3 linked regions of the Oryzias latipes genome follow. The protein of the gene in region 1 interacts with the protein of each later gene in a pairwise test. Links are inferred from orthologs where the notes say so. Each region holds a gene or a part of one and is shown on either strand. Other genes may lie near its edges.

What was found.
Region 2: the proteins of rnps1 (region 1) and dual specificity protein kinase CLK2 interact in binary tests that used the Homo sapiens proteins (3 or more experiments, as listed by UniProt). The two-hybrid records come from large-scale screens. The link is inferred for Oryzias latipes from reciprocal best matches to the Homo sapiens genes RNPS1 and CLK2.
Region 3: the proteins of rnps1 (region 1) and srsf6 interact in binary tests that used the Homo sapiens proteins (3 or more experiments, as listed by UniProt). The two-hybrid records come from large-scale screens. The link is inferred for Oryzias latipes from reciprocal best matches to the Homo sapiens genes RNPS1 and SRSF6.

Annotation. Positions count from the first base shown.
Region 1 is NC_019866.2:11,023,650-11,029,761, reverse strand, and holds rnps1 (RNA-binding protein with serine-rich domain 1), read left to right. Parts: upstream 1-2,453; 5' UTR 2,454-2,545; coding exon 2,546-2,547; exon of another isoform or gene 2,548-2,614; coding exon of another isoform or gene 2,615-2,616; intron 2,617-3,128; coding exon 3,129-3,263; intron 3,264-3,368; coding exon 3,369-3,545; intron 3,546-3,635; coding exon 3,636-3,741; intron 3,742-3,995; coding exon 3,996-4,149; intron 4,150-4,241; coding exon 4,242-4,383; intron 4,384-4,501; coding exon 4,502-4,607; 3' UTR 4,608-4,891; downstream 4,892-6,112. UniProt on the Homo sapiens protein: Part of pre- and post-splicing multiprotein mRNP complexes. Auxiliary component of the splicing-dependent multiprotein exon junction complex (EJC) deposited at splice junction on mRNAs.
Region 2 is NC_019869.2:6,674,308-6,680,453, reverse strand, and holds the start of dual specificity protein kinase CLK2, read left to right. Parts: upstream 1-2,541; 5' UTR 2,542-2,697; intron 2,698-3,716; coding exon 3,717-3,904; intron 3,905-4,007; coding exon 4,008-4,281; intron 4,282-4,395; coding exon 4,396-4,407; intron 4,408-5,183; coding exon 5,184-5,274; intron 5,275-5,952; coding exon 5,953-6,019; intron 6,020-6,146. Other genes in the region: histone-lysine N-methyltransferase SETDB1-B, read left to right, coding at 583-773, 1,296-1,397. UniProt on the Homo sapiens protein: Dual specificity kinase acting on both serine/threonine and tyrosine-containing substrates. Phosphorylates serine- and arginine-rich (SR) proteins of the spliceosomal complex.
Region 3 is NC_019865.2:7,382,893-7,389,052, reverse strand, and holds the start of srsf6 (serine/arginine-rich splicing factor 6), read left to right. Parts: upstream 1-2,450; 5' UTR 2,451-2,535; coding exon 2,536-2,642; intron 2,643-2,979; coding exon 2,980-3,143; intron 3,144-5,377; coding exon 5,378-5,517; intron 5,518-5,624; coding exon 5,625-5,827; intron 5,828-5,941; coding exon 5,942-6,013; intron 6,014-6,096; coding exon 6,097-6,160. UniProt on the Homo sapiens protein: Plays a role in constitutive splicing and modulates the selection of alternative splice sites. Plays a role in the alternative splicing of MAPT/Tau exon 10. Binds to alternative exons of TNC pre-mRNA and promotes the expression of alternatively spliced TNC.

The sequences.
Region 1 (6,112 bases):
TTGTAATATCATACATTTACTTTGAAAATTGTAAAACCTGCTTTCCTTTTTGTTTTATTTCGTTAATTTTTATTACTGAGTTTATTCTTGATTAATTTATTCCCTTGTTTTTACAATAATACATTTCACTACTTAACTCTATCTTGAAATATTTGATAAACTAACGTGAGGTGTTTACTCTGTTAACGATAATCATAAAATATCAAAATTGAATCGTTGTTTATTCAGGCTGTTTGTTTTGATTTAGTATCAATAAAGTTTACTTTAAAACCTAAGTGTCTCATTGCTTAAGTTAAGTTACACGTAAAAAACGTGGCCATAACGCATAAATAAGGATTGCATCATTAAATAGACGATATATGGATATAAACAGTTAATATCACAGTTGTTCTTGAAATGATAGGTAACTGCAATGTTTTCACACCTGTTTCTAACGGTTGAGTTATAACATTAGCTTAGATACTAGAGCTAACAACCTCCGCTGTTGTAAAGTGGGACGCTCACCTGAAGAAACGAAGGAAGCAATGTCCGTGCTTCGAATTCGAGCAGCGTAATTCACGCACCACAGTAACTAGGTCCCCTTTGCATAGCTATGCAGCAGCCGAATACGCAAGCTGCTAACGTCCATAACACCTTAAAAAAACAAATGAAGTTGTGAGTGGCACCCGTTTACAAACGTAACTTCCGCTTTCGTCATAATCTAGCGACGAACTGAATCACACTGGTAAGAAATGAGAATTAACTTATAATTATGGTTCAGTTTTACTTCAACAAATATAATTAAGCTGATGTTGCAGGTTTGGATGGTTAAGGACACCAACAAATTGAATGTGCAGGGGGGAAAAGAAATACATCACACAAGAGTCTGCATGAAAGTTCAAACCTTTGCAAAGGGGATTTTGAGTGGCTTTATATTCTGTAACTGTGGTGTCAACAAACAAACAAACAAACAAACAAACAAACAAACAAACAAACAAGTTGTCTGTGACAAAGAAAACATTGTCAAAATGACTATAAAATTCTGCTTTTGACAGACACTTCTTTCCTGGGCACTTGTTTATAAACACCCCTCACTTATAATTTATTTATTTGGACTAAGAAATACATCATTTACTAAAACAAATATATATTTTTTGTCATAATAATTTCAACAATAATATGGGTCAGTTCCTTGACAGAAAAGGACATTTGTTTAGAACTGAGGAGTTTAATCTAACATATAGTAATACATATTTTTATGGACTCGAAGTCTAAATGTCAACACCATAAAATAAAGAAGATGAAAAGAGAAAATCAGTTACACCCCTGTTGGAAAATCTTGTTTCAAATTTACTCAGGAGAATAACAAAGTCATATGTGCCTTGTTTCAACGAGATGTTATTTCAGAACATTTTGTTGTCTTTTAGTGAAATACTTTTGTCTCTGACTTGCTATGGAAAGAACTTTCATTGCATCAGAAATAGTTGATTAATGACAAGATGAGCGATATCTCCTCTCAATTTCTGCACAGAATAATACTAGTCAAGATATTTAACATTGTAAAATATATTAAAGTTTGTTAACATTCTGTGAAAGAAAACCCAAAAACTCAGTCACCTACTTTGGAATTGTAATATTTATTAAAAATCTTTTGATTAGACTGTACATATTTAAAAAATTGCAACAATAACTCAAAATGCGATGCTCCAGTGCTGTGACTATATGTAAGGTCTGCATGGATTTGTATTATAACTTTTTCATTCATCCACACTTGTGTCGTGTATGTTTACAAAAAAAGTTGGCAAGAAAAAAAAAACAACAACGATATATATATATATATATATATATATATATATATATATATCGTTTTAAGATCTGAATTTACTAAATATTAAATTTTTCCAAAATACAAAGAAATCCATTTTAAAATAATGTATGCAGTCTATCCATACAAGGAACTACTATACATATACGTTTTGGTTTTCCAGAAAATAACTGTTCTTTCTGTGACATAAATATAGAAACACTTGATCATCTGTTTTTTTGAATGTATATATGTTAACAGTTTTTGGGAGAATTTCTTTTCTTGTTGCTCCTCAAAGTTTCCCTTTCCTATTTATATTCAATTACAAAAGCAGATCATATTATTTGGAGTAGTTTCTGTTGATAATATATTTGATTTGACATTCAATACTTTATTAATATCTGGGAAATTTTTCATTGATGAGAGCAGATTTTCAAAAACAAAACCATTATTCAATACATTTCATATTGAGATCAGTTTATATTAAAAATCTCTGATATTAATAAAAAGCAAAAATGCAATAAAATGTCTATTTTCATTGAAGATCACGCGTTGTATGAAAATCCCTTGTATTGTAAACTACAATTATATTATTTTTATTTATTTATTTATTTCTATTTTCTTCTTTTTTCTTTTTTTCTGTTGTAGCTTTTGTGTGTGCGTTTGTTTAAAGTTAAAATAAAAAATTACGTAACATCCGCTTTCATCATCACTTCGCGACCTCACACCAGACCGCAAGTGAAGCCATTTTTGGCCGTTGGAATGTAAGATTAACCTTTTTACGTATTTTCGATCTAAATAGCTTTAATAGCGGAACTTGTTGATTTAAACATGTAAGTTCGGAGGCTTTTTTATTTTGCGCGAAAGTTCCTTATAAAGGAAGAAGTCGTTTAACCGCGACGCGGGTGTAGTTTAGTCCCTTGTTGTGCTCAAAAAAAACAACGAGGGAACGAGTCCAAATAGAAGGTTTTTTTTTTTCTGAATGAAAATATTAGTGTAAGGGAAAATATTATGTAATTTACGGTCCTAAACATTTGGAATTAAGCTTAAAATAATTACAATTTATTGTGCACATGTTAAATGTCGGTAAAAAAAAAAAAAACACCGAAACAATTTTGAATTAATTAGATAAAAATGAAATGAAAAAGTTATATATATTCAAGTAATTAACGAGTTAAATTTAATTAATGACCTTTTTGGTGCAAAAAATTTGTATCTAGCACATTTTAAGGCTGTTTCTCTCTATCCAATAAAAACATAAATCACAATCCTTTACATAAACCTAGACATAATCACTTTTTTAGGTTTCTAGGTCTCTAATTTATGTGCTTTCTCGCCACATCAGGGCACCATTACCGATAAAGCGAAAGGAAGATGAAAAGAAAAACAGGGAAAAAGAAAAAATAAAGGAAGGAGACAAGGAAAGGGGTCGCGACAAAGCAAAGAAACGCCGCAGTGCTTCATCAGGCAGCAGCAGCAGGTGAGCTATTTTTTCTTTCTTATATTTAAAAATATAATATAGCATCCTGTCCTGGATGTTCATTCCCAACTAAATCATTGTTTGTTTTTGACCTTCCACATCTAGATCTAGCTCATCCTCCAGCAGCAGCTCTGGTTCTAGCTCTGGTTCTTCAAGTGGTTCCAGCTCCTCTTCCAGTCGCTCCGGATCCTCTAGCTCTCGGTCTTCCTCCTCCTCCAGCTCTTCGGCCTCTCCAAGTCCCAGCCGCAGACGCCATGACAACCGACGCCGTTCACGATCTCCGTCAGTCCATTTTCTCAGACATGAGACAAATATTTATATTGTATCTCAAAAATATTGACAATATTTATTCTGTAATTTTTTATCCTGCAGTTCTAAAACACAGAAGAGAGGAGAAGAAAGAGAACGAAGAAAAAGAAGTCCCACCCCTAAACCCACAAAGGTTCACTTGGGAAGGCTGACCAGGAATGTAACCAAGGCAAGCTAAAAAAACAAACAAAAGCTAAATCTTTGATTTTTAAAAAAAAAATTCTAATTCAATAAAAGCAGATCTTATTTTTCATGATAACTAGTTAGAATGAAATATTCTTTATGTTTATTGTCTGTCAAGATGTGCGCCTAAAACTGCAAGAATTAAATAAAAAGCTAAATATTTTGTTTTTAGTTTTTTTTAATGGAACAATCCTTCACAAAATAATGGTTAAAAACTAAATGTATGTTTCAATTTACTAGGAACACATCCAGGAGATTTTCTCTACATATGGAAAAATTAAAGCGGTTGACATGCCGGTGGAAAGGCTCTTCCCAAACCTGACCAAAGGCTTTGCTTACGTGGAGTTTGAGACCCCTGAAGAAGCCCAGAAAGCTCTTAAACACATGGATGGAGGTAGGAAAGAATCATTTAAGGGGCTGGAGAAATCATATTGACGAACATAAACTTGGTCAGGTAAAAACAAACCTTCCTGATGACTTTTTTAGGTCAGATTGACGGGCAGGAAATCACTGCAGCTGCTGTGCTGACTCAGCTGATCCGTGGTCCTCCACGTAGACTGTCTCCTCCTCGAAGAATGCCGCCACCTCCACCGATGTGGCGCCGCAGCCCACCACGCATGAGAAGAAGGTTATTTAAAAGCTTTCACTTGTACCTTTTTAATATTTTTAACGTTTTATTATGCGGTCCATTGAAACGGAATCTTCTCCCACCTACTGATGCTCGTCCTTTTTTTGTGCCTGTTTAGATCACGCTCCCCAAGGAGGCGCTCGCCACCACGTCGCCGCTCTCGCTCTAGGTCTCCTGGCCGCAGGCGCCATCGCTCTCGTTCAAGCTCAAATTCCTCCAGATAGAAAGTTGTCTTTACTCTAAATACTCGCCGCAGATCAGCTGCAGTTTTCGCATTTCCTGGCTCCTCGGACACAAAGGATCTATATAAATTGCAGTAAATTTAGCTGAGTTCGTAGTGACAAGGAGACGAGAAAAATTCTTTCTTTTTTTTTAAATTTTGTGCTGAAAATTGACTGTAGTTTTTATGTTATGTCTGATGACATCTAACAAGATTTTGTGATTCCTTCATTCGAGTTGATTTTTTTTTTTGAAGAATTTTGAGAATAAAACCTATGAAACATCTTGATTCTGATTTCTGTCATCTTGTGATCCGGCTCAACTATTATTCTGATTTCTAGTCACAAAAATACTTTTAACCCTTATGTGGTGTTCGGGTCTGTGGGACCCGTTTTCATTTTTTATCAAAAGAAAAATGATACAATTAATTAATTTTTCAAACTCAGACTCACTGGCCTTGGCTCATTTTCTGTGAAGAACAGATATCAGAATACATTTTTAATGACCACACACCGTATACCCCCCCCAACACATTTCTATTACATATAAGATGTTCGGGTCCACTGGACCCAGGGCTAATAGAAGTGTGGAAATTGATGTTTTTATGTACCTACACTCTGTCCTCCACCTGTCTGGGCCTGCTGTGTGTGTGTGTGTGTGGGTGTGTGTGTGTGTGTGTGACCAGTGAGAAAGAGAGAGAGAGAGTGGCAGAGAGAGAAAGATTCACTGTAAATGTGAGTTCTGTTTCTGCACCTGCGGTTCCCGCACAAGGTTGCAACATTGTTAGAATAATTCAAGCATCAACTCTGTTTGCTCTCGTTCTCCCGCACATTTGATCATTTGACTTTCTTGCGGGAATCTTTAATATCTCACATAGCAGATAAAGATCTGCTACAAATTGGAGGCGGGACACTATAAATATAGCTTTGCCAGTGTGGTTTCTCATCACAACTGATCAAAATGGCCAAAAGACTTTCTGCGCAGAGGGCCCTGGAATTGATTTTAGAAGAGAGAGACGTTTTCGATGATGATGTAGAGGGAGACGATTCAGAAGAGGAGGTTTCAGAATTGGAGGATCACATTTCTGAAAATTCAGAGTCTGACAGTGACTCTGGAGAAGATGATTAGATTGGGGCGGCCGTGGTGCAGCGGTAGGGTGGCCAACCCCTGATCGTAAGATTGCAGGTTCAATTCCCGCCTTGCAGGCCCATGAGTCAAAGTGTCCTTGGGCAAGACACTGAACCCCACCTTGCCTCTGGTGGTTGGCGGGCGCCTGTGTTTGGCGGAGCCGCCACCAGTGTCTGAATGTGTGAGTGAATGTGTGTGTGACTGGGTGAATGGGTCCGTGACTGTAAAGCGCTTTGTCCTTGTAGGAAGAAAGGCGCTATATAAGTATAAGCCATACCATTTAGATTGAGCATCAGCCAGTTCCAAAACAAAGCCATCAGCCAGGACCAGGCTGTCAGCAGCCAGGACCATGTGTTGTAAAGGCTAGTGGCTAGAAGCCCTT
Region 2 (6,146 bases), on another chromosome or scaffold:
TCATTAGCTGCGGTTACATGTGCAAAATGTCTTTGATCGGATTAGAATTGAACTGTGTACCCAGAAAAACTTTATCCGATAATAACAAACGTTGACATACGCCACACTTTCGGTCGGAACAAATCATTTGAACATGCGCAGGACAGTCGTAAACAAATTTTGATCCGAACGAGTCTGACAGGCGCCGAGTATTCTGAACGGTGTGGTCACATGACGCATTTTGGTTCTGATCAGGCGTTCATTCCGATTACTTTTGTCCATGTAACCACGGCTACTGACTGGATGTAAAATCCAATCAGGTCCTCCACATCTGATAAAAATCGTCCTGAAAACATCCTAAAAATAGGCTAACATGGTCTTAAACTGTTTCCATTCTTAAGCTAACTAAAATATGTAGCATAGAATAAAAATAAAATCAACACTATCTGACATGTTTGAAAAGCGGAGAGGTAAAAAAGCAGATTTGGAGCCAAGCTGAATTTAGCGATAACATGTCTCTTTTTTTTTTTTTTCCCCTGGAATTCACATCTCTGTTTCTGTTGTGATCCCAATAAAAACTTTATTATCCCATTCCTGTGACAGTGGAAGACCCGTTGGATGACATTCAGGACAAGGATCACTGGACTTTCATGAAGCAGTACTTGCAGGATTGGCCTTTCCCCCCCCAGAGCCAGTACAAGGTTGGGGAGGTCATGAAGGCAGAACATCGGGGAACCCAGCAGGACTGCAAGGTTCTGCTCATCGACAGTAGCTTGTTGAAAGTCGTTTTCCAGGTTTGCACCCCCTCATTGTTTTCCTGTTTCTCTTTCTGTATTATAGTATCTTCCGCCTTTTTTTTGCTGCTTAACTCCTTCCATTTTTCAGCTATTTTAACCATTCAACTATTAAAATGTTCGGCTCTTTCAGCTTTTTCCAGCTATGACTTTTGGTCCTTCAAATCCTTGAACTTTTCAAGATATTCCAGTATTTCCAGGATTTTTGCCTCCATTGAAATACATGGAGAATCCTTGGTGCAGAAGCTCGCTGGTTCGAGACCCGGCTCTGGCATTTTTCACAAAAATATCTTTTATGATTATTGTGCTGTTTTCACTTTATTTATGGTCAACTTTGATGATTTCCTTCTTTTTTATGAATTATTTTTCCAATTATTAGCCTTTAAATTTTATTTTCATTCAGCAATATAGCATTCAAACCTGCATTTTCTTCTGGAAATGCAGATCTTTCTAGTTTCTAGTGTTATCTTTGTGTGGTTCCTTTTTTTTGTGAGCTTTTGTGGTTTGTGTGGTCTTTCCCAGAGTGACGGGCACACAGAGTGGATCTACAGAGGCTCCTTACGGCTGGAGCACATGCTGAAACTGAGGCGCTGGATGATGTCCAAAAATAAGAAGAAAACCTGATCGTGTTTATCAACATGTGTCTGAAGTTATTTCAGAAAAGAAGTTGCAGAAGGAGGACATTAATTGTCGAGGTGCGCTGTTATCGAGGAACTTCCTTGTGAACAGTTGAATGGATTTTATTTAGTGTCTCTAAAAGTAAAATCTACATCTGAAGCATCTGTGGACATTACGCTGCTTTACTTCACTTTTTGTTCACTTTGTATTACATTAATTATGGATTCATGCTTACTTTAATGTAGTTTTTAGTCTTAATAAAATGTCTATTTTTCTGCTTGTTCTTCTTTTAGCCTGAAATGTGATTATAAGCAAAACATCTGCTGTTTATGACTGAAAAAATAAATGAAAAAAATCAAAATAAATTCAAATAATCTGCAATTATTAATCTTATTCCAATTTATTGTTATAGTTTTGAAAATGTTAATGTACTGGTTAGCCTCTCATTAGTAAACCGTCCGTTCTTGTTACAATTATTTATAAAAATCCCTTTGATTCTGGTCTGTATTTGTGTTAAAGACGCAAAAGATGGTTTTCATTATTTTTAAACATTAAAAAATGTGAAGGTCTCAAACTTTTTAAATCCATTTTTGATTTCATTCAAACTAAATGTTTTTATTTATTTAAAACCACGTTTGTTTGGAAAACAGTTTACTTACAGATAAAACAAGAGCAAATGTGGAACTTTCATTAATTAAAATGAATTATTCTTACTTTAGATCTAAATAATTGCTGTGTTTTGGATGGAAATAACGATTTTCATTACATTTTAAACCTGGAAAACATGAGGACAAATTTATTTTGGGATTTTTAAATTACGTTAAATTTACTTTTATATTGATTGTTCATTTTGGGGAAGCAACAAGGAACAGCAGCCACAAATAAATACATTTTTTAAAATGTGGCCAGATGTGAAAGTTTAAACTACCTCAAAATCAAATGTATTTATGTAATGACCAGATTTAGATAATTTGTTGCCCAATCTTTTTCTTTAAGTTTCATTCTATTGCAAACTCGCTTCCATGGAAATAAAACAATATTAATCTCGATAAGTATGATTTAATCCCAGATTAGAAAGGACTACGGTTTCCTAAAATGTCATGGAAGTATTTTGGAAAGAGGAGACGTCCTCGCGCGCGGAGGCGGGGCCAGCGGCAGCAATTTGAAGCAGAAGCTGCGCTGCCTGCCGCGGGCCTCAGGCGGACGACACCAACCGAGCACCAGGCTAGCAAGAATTTTGCCGAGAAATATTATCGCCACCACGGATTTCTTATGGGATAAACGCACAGGCCTCGCTGCTAAAACGGTAAATAGTTTCTAGCTTTCTTTCGTGTCATTTATTTCCAAGTTTGACGGCAGTTTGTACATTAGCTTGCTGTTACGGAGCTGATAAATCCAGCTAAGCTAAGATGGCGGTCTAGTTATTTACATTAGCAAGATGCTAGCATGGAGTAGCTACCAACTAAACACCGATATCTTGAATTTATATAGAACGCGTTTTTTCTGGTGTCATTTATCACCAGGTTTGGGTGCGGTGGTTATTTTTTTGTCGATCTTAACGTTTTTAAGAGTAAACAAATCAAATCATGTTTCAGACGTTACTTGGAGGACTCGGATTTTTTCCCCCGTCAATTAAACGATCTGGTTTAGCAAAGGTTCAAACAAACTTGATAGAAATGCTGTTAAATATACGGGAACTCAGAGCGTCCTGCTCTTCATTATCACTGTATTATGATTTTTAGTGTTGATAGTTTTTAAATGAACTGTCTGTTATTAACGGAGGCGGTTCTGCTGCTCGGAGTTAGTGCAGATGGTTTAGTCTGGCTCCTCTGATGTTGCAGTGTTGCTCCTGTGGGATTGTAGTTCTGGCTCCTGCAATCCCGCAGGAGCTGGGGTTGCAGTCTGGATCTTCTGGGGTTGTTGCAGTGTTGCTCCTGCAATCCCCAGGATTGGCTCCTGGGGATTTCGGTCTTGCTCCTGAAGAAATGCAGTCTGGCTCCTGCGGGGTTAGTGTCTTGCTCCTGAAGAAATGCAGTCTGGCTCCTGCTTGGATTGCAGTCTTGCTCCTGCAGGTTTGCCGTGTGGCTCCTGCGGGGTCTCGTGACACATTTTTATGTTCTCAATCAATGCAGCTATCTCTGAGGAAGCCGTCCCAACCCAGTTACACTTGGATTAAAATATATGTTTGGGATTCCTCATAAATCTGATACCAAGATTATTCATCTTTTCATATAATTCAACATGTAAAATATAAGTCTTTGTCCAGTTTTGACTGATGATGGTTTTTCTGTGGATTTATCGGTTTTCTTTCTCTCACTCCTGCAGATGCCTTACACAAGACGGTATTCGTCTTCTGACAGAGACAGTCGGACCAGCTACCCGGACCGCTACCGAGACAGAGGAAGGAGACAAAGGTACAGAAGATCACCCACCTACTCATCCAGCAGTGACCGAGAGCGTGACCGAAGAGGGCGGGGACACAGACCCAACGGAAGCTATGGAAGAACCAGGAGGTTTGTCTCCAAGAGCTGCAGTTTTTGTTGGTTTTCCTCTCCAAATTTCAAAAGAATCTCCTTTTTTGATGCAAATCTTTGTGTTTTTACTTGTCTTGTACAGTCGCAGCTATGACAATCGCTCAATGGAGCATCGACCGTACGACCGAAGATACTGTGAAGGATACCGACGACTCGATCCCAGCCGAGATCAAGACCGGGACCGGGAGCCCCACGGCACAGCTGAGAGCTTTTATCCACGAGAATTCTCCCCCAACTTGTACGACTACCGACGCGGCCGTGAGAAAGAGCGGGAAAGGTCCTACCAGAGGAAAGGCAGCAGGCGTAAGCACAAACGAAGGCGGCGTAAAACCAGGTCCTATAGCCAATCCTCCTCGGTGAGTACGACCATGTCTGAGACGGTGCTTTAGCGCTTTCTTCATCTTCTCCTCTTCAACCTTTCTTCTCTTCCTTTAGTCTATCTCTTTCTCTAACCGTTCCTTTTTTTACAGCTTGTGGAATTGGTAAGTAGTATATTTTATGATTTGATTTTGTTCTGTTTTTTTTTTATTACACTTTTGCAGAAATTGGCATTCCGTTTTCAGGGCATTTTCATTTTTTGGCAATAACATCTTAGTCATTCCTTAGACCAAATTTTGGAGGTTTCTTATTCCTAAACATCTAATCAACTTTTATTTTGTAGTGGTAGTTGATTTCTAAGATTGCATAGAAAAGTGAAAATGTTCTTTCAAAAATCATAAGTAGCCTTTAACAAATTTGCCCTTTTAGTTGTTTTTTCTCTTTATTCTGTTAATTAAACCACACCTTTAAGGTAGTTTAACTTGAGGAACTCCTAGGTAAAAAAAAATGGATGTGGTTCATTTTTGGAAGTATTTCTGCTTGAGCTGGTCTCCTTCAGTAACTTTTTTCTTCCATCGTTCTTCCAGAATGTCAGTCTGAAAAGTTTTTTTTTTTGATAAATGCCTGTTTTTATTGGTTTGAGATGATGAATGGAAATGCCAGATGCTTCTTTGTTTGTGAGCAGTCATGGTTTGGAAGGTAGAGGGGGGAGAGGAGCAGAGGACGACAAATGATGTTTTACTTTCCTTGCACTATATCGTTATCTATTTCCTTCACGTGCTGTCATGCGTGAATCGCCCCATGACCACGAAATCCACCTACTACTACTACCACCACCCTCCTCCTCCCTCCTCATCCACCTGTGCCAACACTGAAACCCCCGCGTCCCCCCCCCCGGTCGTGTTGTGACCTGCTGATGGCGGTCTGGGTGAAAAAACAGAGGAGCAACAGCCGGACGCGGGCACTGAGTGTGAGGGACGACGAGGAAGGGCACCTGATCTGTCGGAGTGGGGACGTCCTGCAAGAGAGATGTACTCACTGCCACTACTCTATCGTAACCCTTCTCCATATGAGTATTACAGCATAGAGCATTTACATGACACAAGGAGTGCCTGATGACGATGATGATGATGATGATGATGCCTTGCTAGAATGCTCTTCGCTCTTGCTGAATTAGCAGGGTGGACTGCAGAAATGTTGAACAATTTAAGATGGACTATAGCTTTATTTTCTTCTCCCACCCCCCCTACTTTAGCCGCTTAGGCTGTGGAGCATTTTTCCGTTTCACAGGTTACTCGACTTCGCTAGAGTTCACCTTGTAGTTGTGAAGCTCAGAGCTTCATCTTATCAACCCCAGCTTGTCTGTTGTTTACAGGGAATCCACACAGTTTAGCAGCTCGCATTCAACACTTACTGTCACTTTAGCAACACTTTAGCCTTTACCACATTGACATCACACTTTTAAATTCATTTAGAACATCACGACGATTCAAATTTAGTCATTTAAAGAGTGGAGTGCCTTACGGCTGCCTCCTCTGTTAATTACGGATCAGAACGTTAGACCGGGTAGGCGGCTGTCTTCAGACTGGGATGGGCGATCAGTGACATGCCTGTCTGTCTATACGTTGTCGTTTGCGGTCGTCTAACACCTTTCTTCTTCTTTTGCCCCACTTTCCCCTCCTTTCCCCTCCTCTCATGTGGTGTTGCAGATGAGATCGTCGGCACTTTGGGGGAGGGCACCTTTGGGAGGGTGATGAAATGCATCGACCATCGAAGGTGAGGGTCCGCTCAGCCTGGACCGTCTTTTCTTCTCTGTCATAAAAAAAAACTAAAAAAACATTTGCCCATGGAGGCAGTCGTGGATTTTAGAGCTATTGTTGTTACAAAATTCTGAAGTAAATCT
Region 3 (6,160 bases), on another chromosome or scaffold:
TGGAGACTTGATGAATAAATGTGCATGGGGAGGGAGGCTGTGTTCAGAAAGAAGTGGAAATGTGCTTTTTAACTACTCTTGTAGCATTGCTGATTTTTAAAGAAAGCTGACTGACTGATTTTATTAGAATGATTTGGGGAAAAAATCAATTTTATTGTTTTGAGAAGGCTTTTTTTTTCACCTGAAGACAGATTAATAGACAAAAGCATTGAGGGCAAAGGGTGTGGGGAATTCTGAAGAGGGAGATAAATCTGATGAAAGTTATTCTTCACAAAGATTTTTAAAAATGCATCAGTTTATTCGGAATATCTGAATAGACCTAAAAAATCTGTTTGACAGTAATGGCAAAAAAACTGGTCTGAACTTGTTTTAAAACTGTTTTTTTCATAAAATAAAATGTTCTCTTGCTCTACATTCTCGACTTGCTGTAGCAAACACATTTTTAAAGTTTATTGGAGGAACTAAGGGTTGATTCTGTTTCTTCTGGCCTTCAAAATATTTCCAGATGAAAGTACTTTATTTCCTGGTGTTGAGTATTTTACAAACCTTGACAATGTCTGTTACTACTGCGTGCTTCTTGACACTCATATTCAGTACACCACTTTTTTAATTATTTTTTTTTCTATTTTTGTTTCAACGTAACCGACTAACATTTTTACCCATTTATTCAAAAAATTATTATTCTACATCAATAAAAATGTGTTCTTTTCACATTTGAAGTTCCATCCATCACGTCGGGTGGAAACGGATTAGATGGCGTTTTGGGGAAGTACATTTCGGCGATGTATGAAGGAGAAAGAAACTTGGTGGAAAGGTTTGGCAGCAATGCAGGGGCTGCAGATTTGTCCCTCTGGTTGGGCTTCAGGTCAATAAATCAATCAAAATGTAACAAACTGAAAAGTAAAGTAAATGTAGAAAATGTAATTTTTTGCACAGTGTGTACATTGCGTAATGAGTTTAAATGGATCTAGGGATGGATCCTAGGATTATAAAACAGAGTACAGGTACTGTTGTGGTAATAGGGGATACAATTGACTTTGTTTTTGTATAAAAATATATTTTTTTCTAAGAAAACATAACATAGTCACTAAAATTTTAAAAATGATTTTTTTTGTTTAGAATTTATAATATACTTCTTCATAACACAGTGCAGGATAAAGAAACGGGCTGCACGGTGGCACTCTTGCCTCCCCCCCTGCTTGGGGACCTGACACAGAACAATGGGGGACCTTTCTCTGTGGAGTTTGCATGTTCAATCTGTGCATGTGTGGGTTCTCTCCAGGGTCTCCGGCTTCCTCCCACCATCCAAAAACATGCTCCATAGGTCAGTTGGGAACTCTAACACTCTCTGTCCCTGAGAGTGAATGGGTGTGTGATTGTGGCTCTGCAATACTGGCGATCGGTCCAGGGTGTCCCTTGCCTTGCTCTGGCAGCCCCGTGACCCCAAGATAAAACACCAGAAGATGAACGAATGAATAATAAAGATACAAATTGGTATTACTCTGATATAAAATATGAGAAATTACTCAATGGATCTTTACAACTCTGGTTAAAGGCGGCAAAAGAGAAAACTGTAAATGGCTTTGGACCTCAAGAAAAATAATACAATTTACCAAGGGTTAAGGTTTATTTGTGATTTACTTGTATTGTGTAAACTACATTTATGAATGATAGTGAAAGCTTTAAAGATCTTTATATATGATAGGTTTTTCCCCTGAATATTTGAAGCTACATTTCTCAGTAAATCTTGTATAATATTATACTTAATTATTTTTTGTCGCATAAATAGCTTATCAGTTGTTTTTGTGCACCAAGGTTGGTTAAAAATCGGATATTTGCTTCCTTTTAGCAACTCTCGTAGTAAACCTAATAATGAGGACCAATGTTTTGTTAATGTAAAGGCAGCCTATAAATATGTGAAATGCAGAGCTAGAACACAAAATTTGACACAAACACATCTAAATAATACTACTACTAATAAAAATCTACATCAATCAGATGACTAAAGAACTGGGGGAAATAAGATAGTTCCAGATTGTTTCTACTAGTTTTTGGAAAAGTTAAATACTTTTAATTGGCGGCTATTGGTTTGCAGGTGAAAAACGTATATGTTTGGACAACATAACATTGATTGTACATGAGAACAGTCAATGCTCCATAATTAATAAACCATCAAGCCCCGTTGAATTTATTGTGCAATCTTCGGAACACAAGATAATAGATTTTAATGTGTGTATGTATTTTCTATGTGAAATTTTACAACACCCTGATTATATGTCATTGTGTGACCGTGTTCTTTCAATAAACTCTTTGTTTACTGCTCTGTTCTTAACCAAAAAATAATAATGATGAAAAAGAAATTACAAAAAAGGACAGGAAGTAAGAACTGCAGTACAGGAACCGGAAATAGCTTATCTTGTCGTTGATTGGCTGTTTCTGGAACTTAGTGAACGCCCACCACAGAAGAAGCTAGCTACAGTAGCGTGTAGCTATTTGGTGGAACAGTCGAGAACAAGTTCAGTAAAAAAAAAAAAGATGCCTCGTGTTTACATAGGTCGTTTAAGCTATCATGTTCGTGAAAAAGATATTCAACGATTTTTTAGCGGATACGGTAAATTACTGGAAGTCGATATGAAAAATGGGTAAGTTCTAGAGATAAAATCGCACATGTTTGGCTAACGCTAAGACACCTGGGCATGTCTACGGCGTAGCTGCAGACATGAGGTGAACGCGTTTGAACTGTGCGCGTACATATTCAGTCACCGTTACATATCGCTTAAGGATTCCTGTCAGTGTTAAAATAAATACCGGATTGAGGGTAAAACGTCCATTTTCTCTGATTTCTTTTTAGATTCTCATATGTCAAACATGGCGTCGTTATTTGCTACATTTGCTAAGCTAACGTCGGCTAATTGAATTTATCCTCACTCAAATAATGTTCTTATTAGTGAAATGAAATTGTGATTCTTCTTTCCACAGCTATGGCTTCGTTGAGTTCGAGGATAACAGGGATGCTGACGATGCTGTGTACGAGCTGAACGGGAAGGAGCTGTGTGGGGAGCGGGTGATTGTCGAGCATGCCCGGGGACCGCGGCGAGACCGAGACGGCTACGGTGGGGGTTCCTCCTGGGGTGGTGGGCGCAGTAAGTGCAGTTATTTAAAGATACCACGTCTCTTCTTCTCCTCCATCAGTGAGGTTACAATGTGAGCTGCTCAGGTGATTGATAATGTAATAAAGCCCTTTTAACAGTGTTACAGTTTTTTTGCTCGTTAATTGGGTTATTGTTTGTATCTTTTTCTGTAGCAAAAAAAACTCATTTATTTTTGTACCACCTCAACTACTTGCGTATTAAATCAGTTATGCTTTATTACAGGGTTCCTTGTTTCTTTCTGAATCTTTTAGCTTGCAGATCTAACATTAAAACAACCTTAACTTTGTTTCTCCAAATCTACTACCTTGCTTAGTTTTTCACTTATATACCTGCTAAAGGTTTTTTTTAATCAACTGAGCACATCTAATCTAAGATAATCAAAGTAGGTACGACACGAATGTCTAGAAAATAACCAAGGTGGTAGATCCTGAGGACCAAGGTTGAAGGCTACTGCCCAAGAGGTGTTACCCTTCCCCTATTTGTGTTTAGGTTCGTCCTTATGGTGTTCAAGCTACATTGAATCAACATATGTCTACTCAGTTCAACCTGATTTAAATCGTATTGTAGAATAGAATATCTTTATTTATATAGCACTTTTCCCAGAAAGAATCTCAAAGTGCTTTACAGCAGAAGCATCAAATCAAAACACAAAAGTAATAAAATAATAAAACAAAACACTGTAAACATAGTAAAATAAGTTCTAAAATCAACTAAAAGCTCTCCTGATTAAAAACGTCTTGACCTGAGATTTAAAACACTCTACGGAGCCCCTCTGATGCAACAACGATGGGAGTTCCAAAGATGAAGAGCAACGGCTTGAAATGAGAGATCTCATCTAGTTTTAAAGCAGGTTTAAGGTCAGATGTTTAAGGTCAGATATTTTAAAAGGTCAGATATGTACTTCTGAGCTTGACCATGCAAAGCTCTAAAAACTAAAAGTAATTTTTTTAATTTTTAAATCAAAAGTAGATGAATGCTAAAGGAGCAATTTATTAATAGAATCCAGTTGAAGATAATGTATTGTATTTTGGTAAACTGTGAGCATACCTGTAGGAACCCTGTTTTAAATCAGGCGTTAGTGCTTTCTCAAATCTTATCTTCACTCTGATGGACTGCACTCGTCTTTTCTTTGATAATTTGATAATTTCCATTGTGTCAGTTTATTGTGAACCGTTTTCTCCCTGATCAAAACTTTGCACGGAGTCAAATCTTCATTTCAATGAGGAATAAACTGCTATTCTGAACTCAGGGCACTTTTAAGAGTAATGCTATGTATCCAAGTAAAAGTAAAAAAAAAAGTTGTGGAGTTCTTTAAAATGTTTTGATTAATGATGTTAAATTGTAAAATTAGTTTGATTAGAAATGTTTACACACAAATGACTGCAAACGTAGCTAGTGTAGTCTTTGCTGGTCTTTTTCTTTTTTTTTTAGGACTTCACTAACATTTTTATGAAATGTGTTTGTTAACCTTGGCATATATATATTTTTTTATATATTAAACATTAACAGAAGTCCTTGATGTTTCAATTTGAAAGAGTCCTGTTGCGGGCTGAGGCTGAGAGTCCATTGAGGCTAAAGATGACTGGCTAAGATGACTGCCTGTCCCGTTTGGCCTTGGCTTTCACCTTACAATGTGTGTGTGACCTTTGCCCCCCTCTTGATCCTTGGCTGACCTAACCGGAAGCCATGATGACAGCAACCTTTTGCCAATAGACCAGGGGTGATGGTGAGGATTGCCATTGGTTTCTATGTTGTCAGAAAACATGACTGGATCAGCTTTTTTTTTTTTTTTTAGGAAAATCAAAAAAACAATTTTGTAAGTATAAGCCTGAAAGGAAAGAAAAAAAGCATTTCAGACTTTTCCAAACTGTCCAAAAACAGTAAATGCTTTTTGTTTGGTCAATTTGATGGACCAGTCTCTTTAACAGAAACCTGTATGGATGCCTCATTTTTGTGTTAGTAGGTGCAGAGGTTAAGAAGTTAGAATGGCTTTGTTACTGGATACCAAAACAGATACAGTGGTGTTCTTGTAACTTCTGTATTTTTACAATTCAAACTTTAGAGCTCCAAAATGGCTTATTTGAACTTTCGACTTTGAAAATAGATGGATCTTCATTTATTTAAGTAAAATCCCCTTTGGAAATGTTACTTGATAGCCGAGCTCAGTAGTTCTTTTGCCCGTCGTATTAGCTTCCCATAACTGTTGTGTGCTTTCCTTTTTAAAGGCAGCGGTTACAGCAGCAGCAGCAACAGCAGCAGCAGCAGGACCCGCGTAGGCAGAGACAAGTATGGGCCTCCTGTCCGTACCGAGTACCGCCTCATTGTGGAGAACCTGTCCAGCCGCTGCAGCTGGCAGGACCTTAAGGTATCTGTTAAAGCGACGGATTTGGTCATGTCATCGGCGCATAGTTTGCAATTTTCTTTCTTGGCAGTGCATTTAAGCATGGTTCTAATTTTTTCTTACCCTATAAGGATTTCATGCGTCAGGCTGGAGAGGTGACTTATGCTGATGCTCATAAGGAACGCACTAACCAGGGGGTAATTGAGTTCCGGAGCTATTCTGACATGAAGAGGGCTTTGGACAAGCTGGATGGAACCGATATTAACGGGCGAAAGATCCGTTTGGTTGAAGACAGACCGCACAAGAGAAGGTCCTACTCTGGTAGCCGATCCAGGTAATAAATCTGTTTATTTTTCATGTAGTTTCTGTGATTTTTAAAAGTTTTCAGTAGTTTTTACCAAGACTAATTGCGGGCAGTAGTTTTACCACTTCATGCATATGTCCACAGATCTCGTAGTCGCCGACGTTCACGCAGCGGGAGCCGTAGGAGCTCAAAGAGCCGTTCCAGATCCCACTCTAGGTAAGAGTCTTTGATAGCTCAAACATTAAGAGTACGTTGTTACAGATTGAAGACTTCTGCTCTTCTTCTGCTTTCCCCTACAGGTCTCGTTCTCGGAGCAACAAAAGACGTCATTCCCGCTCACGATCTGGGATGTCTCGCTCCAAG